Linked DNA regions of Macaca fascicularis. The protein of the gene in region 2 interacts with the protein of the main gene of each other region in a biochemical or structural test. Links are inferred from orthologs where the notes say so. Each region holds a gene or a part of one and is shown on either strand. Other genes may lie near its edges.

Region 1 (3,656 bases), on a different chromosome or scaffold from region 2:
TGAAGGACCAATACTGTCCAACTATACCATGATATCCCGCTCAATTTTAGTTTTCAGACACCCTCATAAACAAAACCCACTCCACCTTTTCCTGTATACTGCATTTGCAGTCTACATTTCTGAAATTCCCTATTTAATTCCTTGAGGATCACTAAAATTAATCCTTAAGGTTATATAGGAACCAGATGCTGCTTTACAATTCTGCATCAAGCATTAACATTTGGTTCAAAATATTATCATAGTGGTCGCAATCCAGTTACAGGTCCTAACCAGCTAACCAAGTAATCTTGTTAGGATCTGGATATCACCAGCGAGCACACTGCTTACATATGAAGAAAAATAAGTTTACATTCATTGTCATCTGTAGGTTCTTTCTCTTCATCCTACGTCCCCTTTAATAGTCATCCCTCAAGTCTACACATCATTCATTCATCACGCTTCCTTCCTTAAAGGAGACAGTGTACTATTGAACCAACAGGATATCTTCATTATTTGCATGAGTTAATCCTACAAACAAAATTAAATACCTTTTTTATAAAACATCTTTTCCAGTGTTCTAATTGATGGAGATGTGGATCACTCATCTATAAAAATGACTTATAGCTTCAGCTTTATCAGTTGCTATAATGTGAAAACAGGAATGTGTATTTTTTTCAACTAGGTAAAAGGTGCATATAATTTGAATTGCTAAATGCTTTATTAATGAACAAAGTAAACCTTTTAGTAATTTTTAAGTTACTGGTCTCAGGCGTTTGAAACAAGGTCAAAGTATACATTCCAGTTTTGCCCAAAAGTCACTTAAAATATCTACAAATGTTTAATCTGTGTGTGGTATACACCATTATTGCTCCAATTCCTGGAGTCTATTTTTAAAGTTTAAAAAAGAGGGAAAACAGCAAAGTGACTAACTTTGCAGTGGAAAAAAAAAGTGTCCTTCATGGGTTACACTTTCATATTTTTATGCAGCGTTAAGTTAGCTACCTTGTGGGGAACTTGGGTTTTATTCCTACTCATGCATGATGTATGTTTCAGAACTTATTTGCTGACATTTCAGAGAACCTCTTACATTACCTGTTTAACATACTGAGGTGCAACTGGAACATATTACAATGATATTACTCATTACTCGCCACTGTGGGCTAAGTTTACTATACTGGTCTTAGATATAAAAGGTCACATTTGAAATTACTAAGTTAGAACTCATAAGGAAGGGGGGAAAGGCCTTAAGTATAAAAGACAAACGGCAGTTTGATTAAGCAATAATTTTCAGTTTACTAGATGAAACAGACTTGCAACATAGTCTGCATGAATGCAAAATAAGCCATCTACAGCAAGTGATAAGGAAACTGGGCAAAAAAGGAAAAAAGCATACATAGGAAAATGAAAGATTCTCTCGAAATAAAAAAATCAAACTATTATTACAAAGGACTTTACCAGGAACTGCTGTATTTCCCCCATCCCATCTGCTGGAAGTCAATAAGAGCATCTAGCAACTTTGTGTTCATGTCAAATGTCAGATCAGAGCATCCTAATGCAAAGCCAAAAAAAAAAAAAAAAAGGGAAGAAGAGAAACAAACAAAAGAGAAAACCCCCAAGCCCCCTCCCCCCAAACTGTAGAACAGTAACTCCAGAGTTCAAATTCAAAAGAAGAGAAAGTGGCAATTGAAAGAGGTGATGGTGGCGATAATCCTATGAATGGGTTTTTGATTTCTCTCCTTCCAGGGGATGGGTGGAGAATGCTCATTAAGATTTGTAGTTAGAGGTTAACCATGTGAGCCCCTCATAGAGTCCGTCCCCTGAGGTGGCACAGGAGGGCTGCACATACCAGTTCCTGTCCCGAATCCGGGTCAGGCCCAGTTTCTCCTGGATCTCGTGGGGTTTCATGGCATCAGGCAGGTCCTGCTTGTTGGCGAAGATGAGGATTATGGCGTCCCTCATCTCCCGGTCATTGATAATGCGGTGCAGCTCCTGGCGAGCCTCATCGATGCGGTCGCGGTCGGCGCAGTCCACTACGAAGATCAGACCTTGGGTCCCAGTGTAGTAATGCCGCCAGAGCGGCCGGATCTTGTCCTGGCCGCCCACATCCCATACGTTGAACTTGACATTTTTGTAAGTCACCGTCTCCACGTTGAAACCCACAGTGGGAATGGTGGTCACCGACTGGCCCAGCTTCAACTTGTACAGGATTGTTGTCTTGCCGGCCGCGTCCAGGCCCAACATGAGGATCCGCATTTCCTTGTTCCCGAAGATTTTGGATAGCACCTTCCCCATCGCGTCGGAGGAGCCGGGGCCGGGGGCATTCAGGTGTCCCGGGTCCCGTCAGCCAACAACGCCGCCGCCGCCGCGAAACCGAAACGAAGCCTCCCGGCCGCGAAGGCGCCTTTGCGGCCTGCGTGGGAGGTGCCTCCTAAGGGCAGAGGCCCAGGACTGCCGCTCACTCGGGCATCACCGACCGCACAACTTGATTCCTCCACTCGCCGCTGCCACCCGGGCCCTGAGTCTGCGCCGGGAGCCGCCGCCCTGCTGAGGCGCGGCCCGGCCCGGAACTGCCCTTCCCCCCGCAGGCGCCGCGCGAGCGCCGCCGCGGTTCCCGCTCCTCCGCCTTCCTCTCACCCCGAGGGAGAATGCGGCCCTCCGGCCCGCCAGCCGGCCTGCAAACACTGGGCTCACCACCGACCCAGGACACCCGAGAGGCAGCACGACTCCGGGGCCCCGTCAGGTCATGGATCCTCGCGGGAACTCGGTACGCTGCCTGCAGAGAAACAGAGAGGGAGAGGGGAGTTACCGCCAGAGATCCAGAGAGGAGTGAAGACAGAGGTGGCCCGCCTTTCCAGCTCGGTGCAGGGGGTTACCTCCAGCCGCCGCCCCGAGCGCGGGCTCCCTCCGGCCTCCAACTCCTCCTCCCAGTTCTGCCGCCGCCGCTGCCGGAAAAGGCGCCGAGGAAACCGCCTCACTTCCCCTCCCAACCACGCAGGCGCAGCAGAGGCCGACCGTTCGGACAAGAGCGACCTCTGTAAGGAGAGCGGCCCGCGCGCCTAGCGTCATGGGCGCCACGCGCCGGAGGGGCGGGGCTACGGCGTCTCGGAGGGCCCGCAGGTGCGGTTGGCCCAGAGACCTGCAACCTCGGACTCTGACCGGCGCCCACCTGTGGCTCTTCTAGCGTCTCGTTCCCTGTTTTTCTCTTCTGCGCTCTGCCCTCCCCTGCCCACCCGAACCAAGGGACAGATCTACTGGGGGGGCTCCACAGGGTGGGGCCCACGGGCAGCCCACTTTCTCCACGAACAGAGCTGCCTCCAGGCCTGTTCCCAGACCTCGGTGCCCGCCAGATGCTGTGCGAGTTCCCTCCGCCCGCCCCAGCCTTCGCGCACTCTCCGCGCACCCTCAACTTCCCAGAGAAGCTCTGTTCGCTTTTTTTTTTTTTTTTCCTTTTTCTCATCCCCTTCTTGGCTTTCTTTATCCCTTGAATTTTGTGTGTTTTCTGAAAGACACGTGGGAGGCCAGTGTCTCGTGTGGAATCTGCCAGTCAGTGCAGCGCTTTCGGGGAGTTGAGTTTACTCTAGCTCTTTTGAATGTTTGAGCCCTGTCTGCCTATAGGTCTCGTCAAGACCAGCCCATGTTTCTTAAAAACTGCAGTATTTATCAAGAGTTCCTGTGCC
Region 2 (3,646 bases):
GTCAGCAAAACAACAGGAAAGGCAGATGGCAAAGGTGTAGCCCAGAAAGCACAGCTGCACACACTCCTAACACACACAACACCCTGCGCCAGCAGCTACACCGGGGTTTGCATCTCGGGGCAGCCACGCAGGCGACACGTACCGGGGTTTGCATCTCGGGGCAGCCACGCAGGCGACACGTACCGGGGTTTGCATCTCGGGGCAGCCACGCAGGCGACACGTACCGGGGTTTGCATCTCGGGGCAGCCACGCAGGCGACACGTACCGGGGTTTGCATCTCGGGGCAGCCACGCAGGCGACACGTACCGGGGTTTGCATCTCGGGGCAGCCACGCAGGCGACACGTACCGGGGTTTGCATCTTGGTACATGAAGGCTCAGAAGTGGGTAGCACCAGGAACTGTGGAAGTTGGGTGAAGGCAAGGCTCACACAGGAGGGTCCCCCCCCACATACAGCTGGGTCACACCCATCCCCACCCTAGAGGAGGAGTCTGGACTGCAGAGCACCAACACACACCGGAGTGACACCAGTGAGTGCCCTTGTCCTCCTGACGAACGCCTGTGGCCAAGGGTCTGACCAGCCCCAGACAAGTCCCTGGGAGCGCGCCTGTCCTGGGCACCCCGTGGCCTCCCTGGTGGTGCAGAGGCCAGCAGGTGCTCTTGGGAAGGGGTTGCATCTGCTTTGCCCCTGGTCTCAATCATCAGTTCTGCAAAGCAAGAGCAAGTCCCCTCCTGGGTAGAGGACACCTGAAGCCCTTCCCGCCCAGCCCTGTGCTTTTCCATCTTATACCCTCCTGGGTAGAGGACACTTGAAGCCCTTCCCGCCCAGCCCTGTGCTTTTCCATCTTATACCCTCCTGGGTAGAGGACACCTGAAGCCCTTCCCGCCCAGCCCTGTGCTTTTCCATCTTATACCCTCCTGGGTAGAGGACACTTGAAGCCCTTCCCGCCCAGCCCTGTGCTGCCCCTGGGTTTCCATCTTACACCAAATTCTGGGTGTGGGTGCAGGTTAGGTTGAATTAGAAGGGATGGCAGGGTAACAGGATAGTGAGGACAACTGGATTATGGAGAAGATCCAGGGTTCCTTGGAGAAATGGCCAGTTCTGAGGCTGCGACGGGAAAAGGCAGGCTGAGCCTGCAGCAGTGTGTAGTATCTGAAAATGAGGAAGTGCTTACACTAAACCCCCCCCTGCCATGAGCACAGACACAGGGTATGTCAGAGGGACACGGGCCAGCTGAAGGAGTTGCCAGACGCCAAAGCTGGAACAGTTCAAGTAACAAACTCATAGTGATAGCATTGGATTACAATCCAAAACATAAAGTTCATGAGTCCATCGTGACACAAATAAATGACTATTAATAAACAGAGAAGAGGGCCGGGTGCGGTGGCTCACACCTGTAACCGCAGCACTTTGGGAGGCTGAGGTGGGTGGATCACCTGAAGTCAGGAGTTCAAGACCAGCCTGGCCAACATGGCAAAATCCCGTCTCTACTGAAAATACAAAAATTAGTCAGGCGTGATGGTGGGCGCCTGTAATCCCAGCTACTCAGGAGGCTGAGGCAGGAGAATTGCTTGAACCCCAGGAGGTGGAGGTTGCAGTGAGCCAAGATTGCGCCACTGCACTCCAGCCTGGTGACAGAGTGAGACTCCTCCTCAAAAAAAATAAAATAAATAAAATAAAAAATAAGGCCGGGCACGGTGGCTCACGCCTGTAATCCCAGCACTTTGGGAGGCCGAGACGGGCGGATCATGAGGTCAGGAGATCAAGACCATCCTGGCTAACACGGTGAAACCCCATCTCTAATAAAAATACAAAAAAAAAAATAGCCGGGTGTGGTGGCGGGCGCCTGTAGTCCCAGCTACATGGGAGGCTGAGGCAGGAGAATGGCGTGAACCCGGGAGGCGGAGCTTGCAGTGAGCCGAGATTGCGCCACTGAACTCCAGCCTGGGCGACAGAGCGAGACTCCGTCTCAAAATAAATAAATAAATACAATAAAATAATAAAAAATAAAATCCTTCAAAGATTACAGAAAAGCTCTGCCCGGAGCACTTGGGTGGGCACCTAAGGACTGGCCCTGGTCATTTGGGGGCGTCTGTGTGTCACAGGGCAGCCCCAGCAGGGTTTCCCTGAGACACGGGGCGCCCTGGTCCTGCAGAGGCACATGCTTCCCAGAGTGAGTTTCATATTTGCTCTCGTGTCCCAGGCTACAGCAACTGGACGAGGAGAACAGTGAGCTCCGGTCCTGCACGCCCTGTCTGAAGGCCAACATTGAGCGCCTGGAGGAGGTGAGCTGCCTACATCCTGGAGCTGTGGCTAGTGGGCCCAGCCCGTGCCCTGCCTGTGGGGCAGCCGAGGTAGCCCTGAGCTCTGTGCTGAGCAGGATGCTGTGCTGTGTGTGAGGGAACAGGGCCAGCTCAGGGCCCAGGCCACTGGAAGGCACCGGACCTGAAGGCACTGTTCCACCCACAGGAGCAGGGCCCAGAGGCTCACTCCTAGATGGACCCAGGGCTCTGAATCTGGGAAGTGTCCTCCAAGGGGAAGGCATCAGCCAGCCACTCACGCCCCGACCCCTGCAGACGTGGAGGCAGAGGCTGCATGTGGGGTTCCCACACCCCAGCTCATCACTGTGAGACCTCCCTCCCCCCACCTCACCAGCTGTGCTCTGGGAAGCTCCCAGGAAGGATATTCTCAGAGCACTTGGGCCCTGGCTCCCGTGAACCAGAGGAGCCCGGCTGGAGCTGCCCACAGCCACTGAGTCAGGTCCTGTCCACACAAAGGTCCTTCCTGCCCCTCATGAGAAATGGCCCTCGTGGCCTGTGTGTGTGAGGCGCCCAGAGGCAGGTGGCCTTGACCTCCACTGAGAGGCAAGAAGGCTCAGACCCAGCCCTGTCGCGCTCCAACACGGGGGCTACCATGCTGCTGTTTGGGAGACTCAGAGACTGGAGGGACAGACGACCGGGGCAAGCTGCATGCACAGGTGGGAGGGCAACGCACATCCAGGGCAGGTGTCCACCCCTGCAGGAGAAGCAGAAGCTGTTGGATGAGATAGAGTCGCTGACGTTGCGGCTCAGCGAAGAGCAGGAGAACAAGAGGAGGATGGGGGACAGGCTGAGTCACGAGAGGCACCAGTTCCAGAGGGACAAGGAGGCCACACAGGAGGTGAGCTGGCACCCACCCTGCCCCATGCCAGTCCTGCCCCCAGCCTGCCCCAGGGGAAGCCTTTGTTTCCTAAGATGCTAGCTTTTGGCTGTGAGTTTTGGACATAGCTGCTGGTGTGTGTCGTCTTCCCGAGAGACGGCCAGATCAACCCTGAGGTTCTACAGCCAAGTGATGGCTGATGGTGTCCCCTGGGAGCCCAGGCCCCCCGGCTCACCCAGCGGTTGCCCTGCAGCTGATCGAGGACCTCCGAAAGCAGCTGGAGCACCTGCAGCTCCTGAAGCTGGAAGCTGAGCAGCGGCGGGGCCGCAGCAGCAGCATGGGCCTGCAGGAGTACCACAGCCGCGCCCGGGAGAGCGAGCTGGAGCAGGAGGTCCGCAGGCTGAAGCAGGTGGGCAGGCCTGGGCCTCCCTCCCTCACATTCCTGCAGAATGTTCCACAAGGCTGGTTGGGAAGGTGGGGACATGGAGGGTCAGCATCTGAGCTGGAGG
Region 3 (3,746 bases), on a different chromosome or scaffold from region 2:
AAATGGCAGAATTAAGATTTGAACTAAAGCCTGAAACCACGTGCTGGCATGTGGTGGGTGCACAGTAAATATCTGCTGAAAAAGCAAATGAATGAATGAAGGGTTTTTTATTCCCAGCTCAGTTTACCTCGAGTCCATAAACAATTGATCCTAGAAGCCCACTGGGAACCCAGAGTAGGCATAACACCTGCCCTTGCTCCATTGGGAATCTATCAGTCCAGTTCAACTGAACAAGCATTTGTTAGGCCTATATTAAATGCATGGCATTGAGCCAGTCTCCACCGCAGAAGAATTTCATTCCTATTTTGCTATTCTCCTCTCAGATGCTAAAATGAGGCAGGGAAATGACATGTGAAGCTCTTTGGGTCTAGGGAGTCAAGATCCTCACAAAATCCTGAATGGGTGTGCAAGAATAAGCCAGGTCCACCAGTCTGTGGCAAAATGAGGCCCTTCAGCAAAGCGGCCAGCGCCTGGACTGAGAGGCGGGGCCCGCAGGGCGATCTAAGCGAAGGTGGACTTCAACAGCCCAGGAGTGGGTCTGCGACCACGCCGCCCAAGGCCGGGAATCTTACACTGGTTCCGCTGATTGGGAATTACGAAGTAGGCGTTTTGAGGAACCATGGAAGCTAGCTAGCACTTGGGCACCTACCCCTACCTCCGGCGCACTCTTCAAACGACCACCTCCTACGCGCAAGATCCTCAGTGGAAGATGAGGCGGTAAAGGGAGGACCAAGACCCCTAAGCGCATCTTCCGCTCCCCAAAGGAGAGTGGTGCGCACGTTCAGTGCTACTGGTTCCCAAGAGCTAAAACCGGAGCCCTAGCGGCCTGGACGCCACAAACCAAAGCCCAGCGGCCGGCCACTGAAAATGGGGGCAGAGGCCGATGCGGAGCGATGAAGCCTTTCCTCAGCCGCGCTCGGGCTGCCGGTTTGGCGGCCATAGGCCTGACAGGCACATTGGAGACCCAGACCCGTTCCCAAATAAGGGCAGCGCGGGACCCAGGCCAGAGGCGGCTACTCGCGGAGCTTCGGCTTCCCCAGCAGCCAGGCCCGGGGTGGGGCGGGGCCCAGAGCCGGGGGCGGGGCCCGGGTGGGGGCGGGCCCGCGGTGACGTCGGGAGGGCAGCGACGCGCGGAGGCGGTGGCGGAGCCTCCTCCTGCTGCTGCTGCGCCCCATCCCCCCGCGGCCGGCCAGTTCCAGCCCGCACCCCGCGTCGGTGCCCGCGCCCCCTCCCCGGGCCCCGCCATGGGCCTCACCGTGTCCGCGCTCTTTTCGCGGATCTTCGGGAAGAAGCAGATGCGGATTCTCATGGGTGAGGCAGATCGAGCGCGCGGCCCGGACCGGGGCGCCGGCCCCGGCGCAGCCCTTCCGCCCCCGCGTCCCTCCAGCCCCGCTCACCTGGGGCTCTGGCCCCGAGTCACCCACCTCCTAACGCCCCGGGGCCTCAGCTCTCGGGCGGGTCCCGGTCTGCAGCGCCGACCCCGGGGCCTGACACCCGGAGCTGCGGGCCTGGGTGGGGTGAAGCTCCCTCCGCCCCTGCCCGGCTGATAAGAAGGGAGGATTCCGCCCTTGGAGACGACTTTTAAAAGGAGCGCGGCCTACCCCCCGTGCCCCTTGCATCCCAGCCCTTTCCCGCGCCGCGCCCTCTTTGGAGTTGGCTCACGCCACCCAACTGCCCTCCAGGCCCCGAAGGTAGATAACGACGCGCACCTGGAGGCGCTCCCGCTCTCCGCCCCCGTCACCATCAGCTGTTGTGGCCTCTTCATTTTCCCTGGTCTCTAGGGGGCTCCCTCGCTCCCATCTCCATCCCTGTGCCCCTCTCCGTTGCAGTTGGCTTGGATGCGGCTGGCAAGACCACAATCCTGTACAAACTGAAGTTGGGGGAGATTGTCACCACCATCCCAACCATAGGTGAGCCCGGGGACGAAGCAGGGAGCGGGAGCGCCGCGGCGGGCCCTCTCGGGGTCTGCTCCCAGTTCTGCCACTTTTCTGGAGCTGACCCTGACACCAGATACAGCTATTTGAGAAGTGGGTCAGGGTATCTCTACGTGGATACCGGAGGCGGGGTGGATGTGACCTAGCCCCGCCCTGTTGACCGGCAGTTCTGGGGTTCTGTTCCCCTGGGCCTTGATCATTGCCTTCTGGTTTTGTGTCCCTGCTGAGATCTAAGTAGTTTCAGTGAGTTCCCTCCTTTCAGGAGTTTTTCTCATATTTTTTTTTCCCAATTATCTGCAGGCTTCAATGTAGAAACAGTGGAATATAAGAACATCTGTTTCACAGTCTGGGACGTGGGAGGCCAGGACAAGATTCGGCCTCTGTGGCGGCACTACTTCCAGAACACTCAGGTGGAGTGTTGGGAGGGGACTCTAACCCCACGGGAAAAGGTGTTAGGGCTGGGAGAACAGAATTGTTGGCCTGGGCTGGGCCCCCAGGCCAAGGAGAAAACCCTTCCCCGCTTCTCCCCCCTCTGTTTGGCTACCCTCTACTCACTCTTCAGAGCTCACCTTAGTCTTCACCAGCTTGAACTTCTCTTTAGAAGCAGGATTCTGGGGCCAGGCTGCCTGATTTAGCCCTCATCACATGTCTTTATTTCCTTGCACTTCTTTAGATAAACTACTACTTCTTTGCGGTGGGGTCTCTAGTTTGTGCTGGGACTTCTGTAGAGCTTCTATGGAGTTCTGTAAACTTCTGTAGCGTTTACTAGATGAGAAGGATTGACACAATTACAGACGGCAAGAGAAGAGAAAGGGCCACACTACAGTATGTCCCAGGCAGGAGTGATTGCTTCTCCTTTCTTCCTTCTTGCCCAGGGCCTCATCTTTGTGGTGGACAGTAATGACCGGGAGCGGGTCCAAGAATCTGCTGATGAACTCCAGAAGATGGTAAGTACCCAGAGCCCTGGGAACTGAACCCTCAGGTTGGGGACAGAGTGATCTCTCTAGTGCTATAGAAGTCAGGGAGCCCCCAACAAGCATTGAAGACCAGAAATACAAGTTTTTCTTTATGGACAGATACATTGTGTATCTCACCGTTTTGGATGGGACTGACTTTCTGTGCATTCTCGTGTCTTTTTTTTTTTTTTTTTTTGAGATGGTGTTTTGCTCTTGTTGCCCAGGCTGGAGTGCAAAGGCACAATCTCGGCTCAACCTCTGCCTCCCGGGTTCAAGCAATTCTCCTGCCTCAGCCTCCCGAGTAGCTGGGATTATGGGCGCCTTCTGCCATGCCCAGCTAATTTTTGTATTTTTAGCTGAGATAGGGTTTCACCATGTTGGCCGGGCTGGTCTCGAACTCCCGACCTCAGGTGATCCACCTGCCCCAGCCTCCCAAAGTGCTGGGATTACAGGCATGAGCCACCGCGCCCAGCTGCATTCTCATGTCTTTACATCTGAGTCTGAGAAGTTGCAGGGGAAATGGGACTTATATGTGGTAAAGAGAAACATTTTACATTCTTGCCTTTTCCATTTGGAAATGTTGTCATTTTGCCTAGGCAAGTACTCAAATTAGGAAAAGGTCTTTCATTTCTGGACTTATGGCTCAGGTCACCTCAAGCGCATTTATAACTATGTCTTGTCTTCAGTGGCAGACTACACAATATTTTTTTTTCCAATCAAGATCCTAGGAGGTAGAAAGGGAATTCCCCATACAGTAAAGAAGACGCAGCCTGGGTCCCATCTTCTCTTCTCCCCTCTCAGCTGCAGGAGGACGAGCTGCGGGATGCAGTGCTGCTGGTATTTGCCAACAAGCAAG

The links.
Region 1: the proteins of RAB11FIP3 (region 2) and ARF6 form a complex in vitro, tested with the Homo sapiens proteins (2 studies listed by BioGRID). The link is inferred for Macaca fascicularis from reciprocal best matches to the Homo sapiens genes RAB11FIP3 and ARF6.
Region 3: the proteins of RAB11FIP3 (region 2) and ARF5 form a complex in vitro, tested with the Homo sapiens proteins (2 studies listed by BioGRID). The link is inferred for Macaca fascicularis from reciprocal best matches to the Homo sapiens genes RAB11FIP3 and ARF5.

The regions. Positions count from the first base shown.
Region 1 is NC_088381.1:117,824,593-117,828,248, reverse strand, and holds the start of ARF6 (ADP-ribosylation factor 6), read right to left. Parts: upstream 2,915-3,656; 5' UTR 2,853-2,914; intron 2,753-2,852; 5' UTR 2,272-2,752; coding exon 1,744-2,271; 3' UTR 1-1,743. UniProt on the Homo sapiens protein: GTP-binding protein involved in protein trafficking that regulates endocytic recycling and cytoskeleton remodeling. GTP-bound form plays an important role in the transport of multiple palmitoylated proteins form the Golgi to the plasma membrane.
Region 2 is NC_088394.1:1,267,992-1,271,637, forward strand, and holds part of RAB11FIP3 (rab11 family-interacting protein 3), read left to right. Parts: intron 1-2,202; coding exon 2,203-2,284; intron 2,285-3,020; coding exon 3,021-3,158; intron 3,159-3,390; coding exon 3,391-3,546; intron 3,547-3,646. UniProt on the Homo sapiens protein: Downstream effector molecule for Rab11 GTPase which is involved in endocytic trafficking, cytokinesis and intracellular ciliogenesis by participating in membrane delivery. Recruited by Rab11 to endosomes where it links Rab11 to dynein motor complex.
Region 3 is NC_088377.1:169,261,958-169,265,703, forward strand, and holds the start of ARF5 (ADP-ribosylation factor 5), read left to right. Parts: upstream 1-1,155; 5' UTR 1,156-1,244; coding exon 1,245-1,311; intron 1,312-1,829; coding exon 1,830-1,910; intron 1,911-2,234; coding exon 2,235-2,344; intron 2,345-2,809; coding exon 2,810-2,881; intron 2,882-3,691; coding exon 3,692-3,746.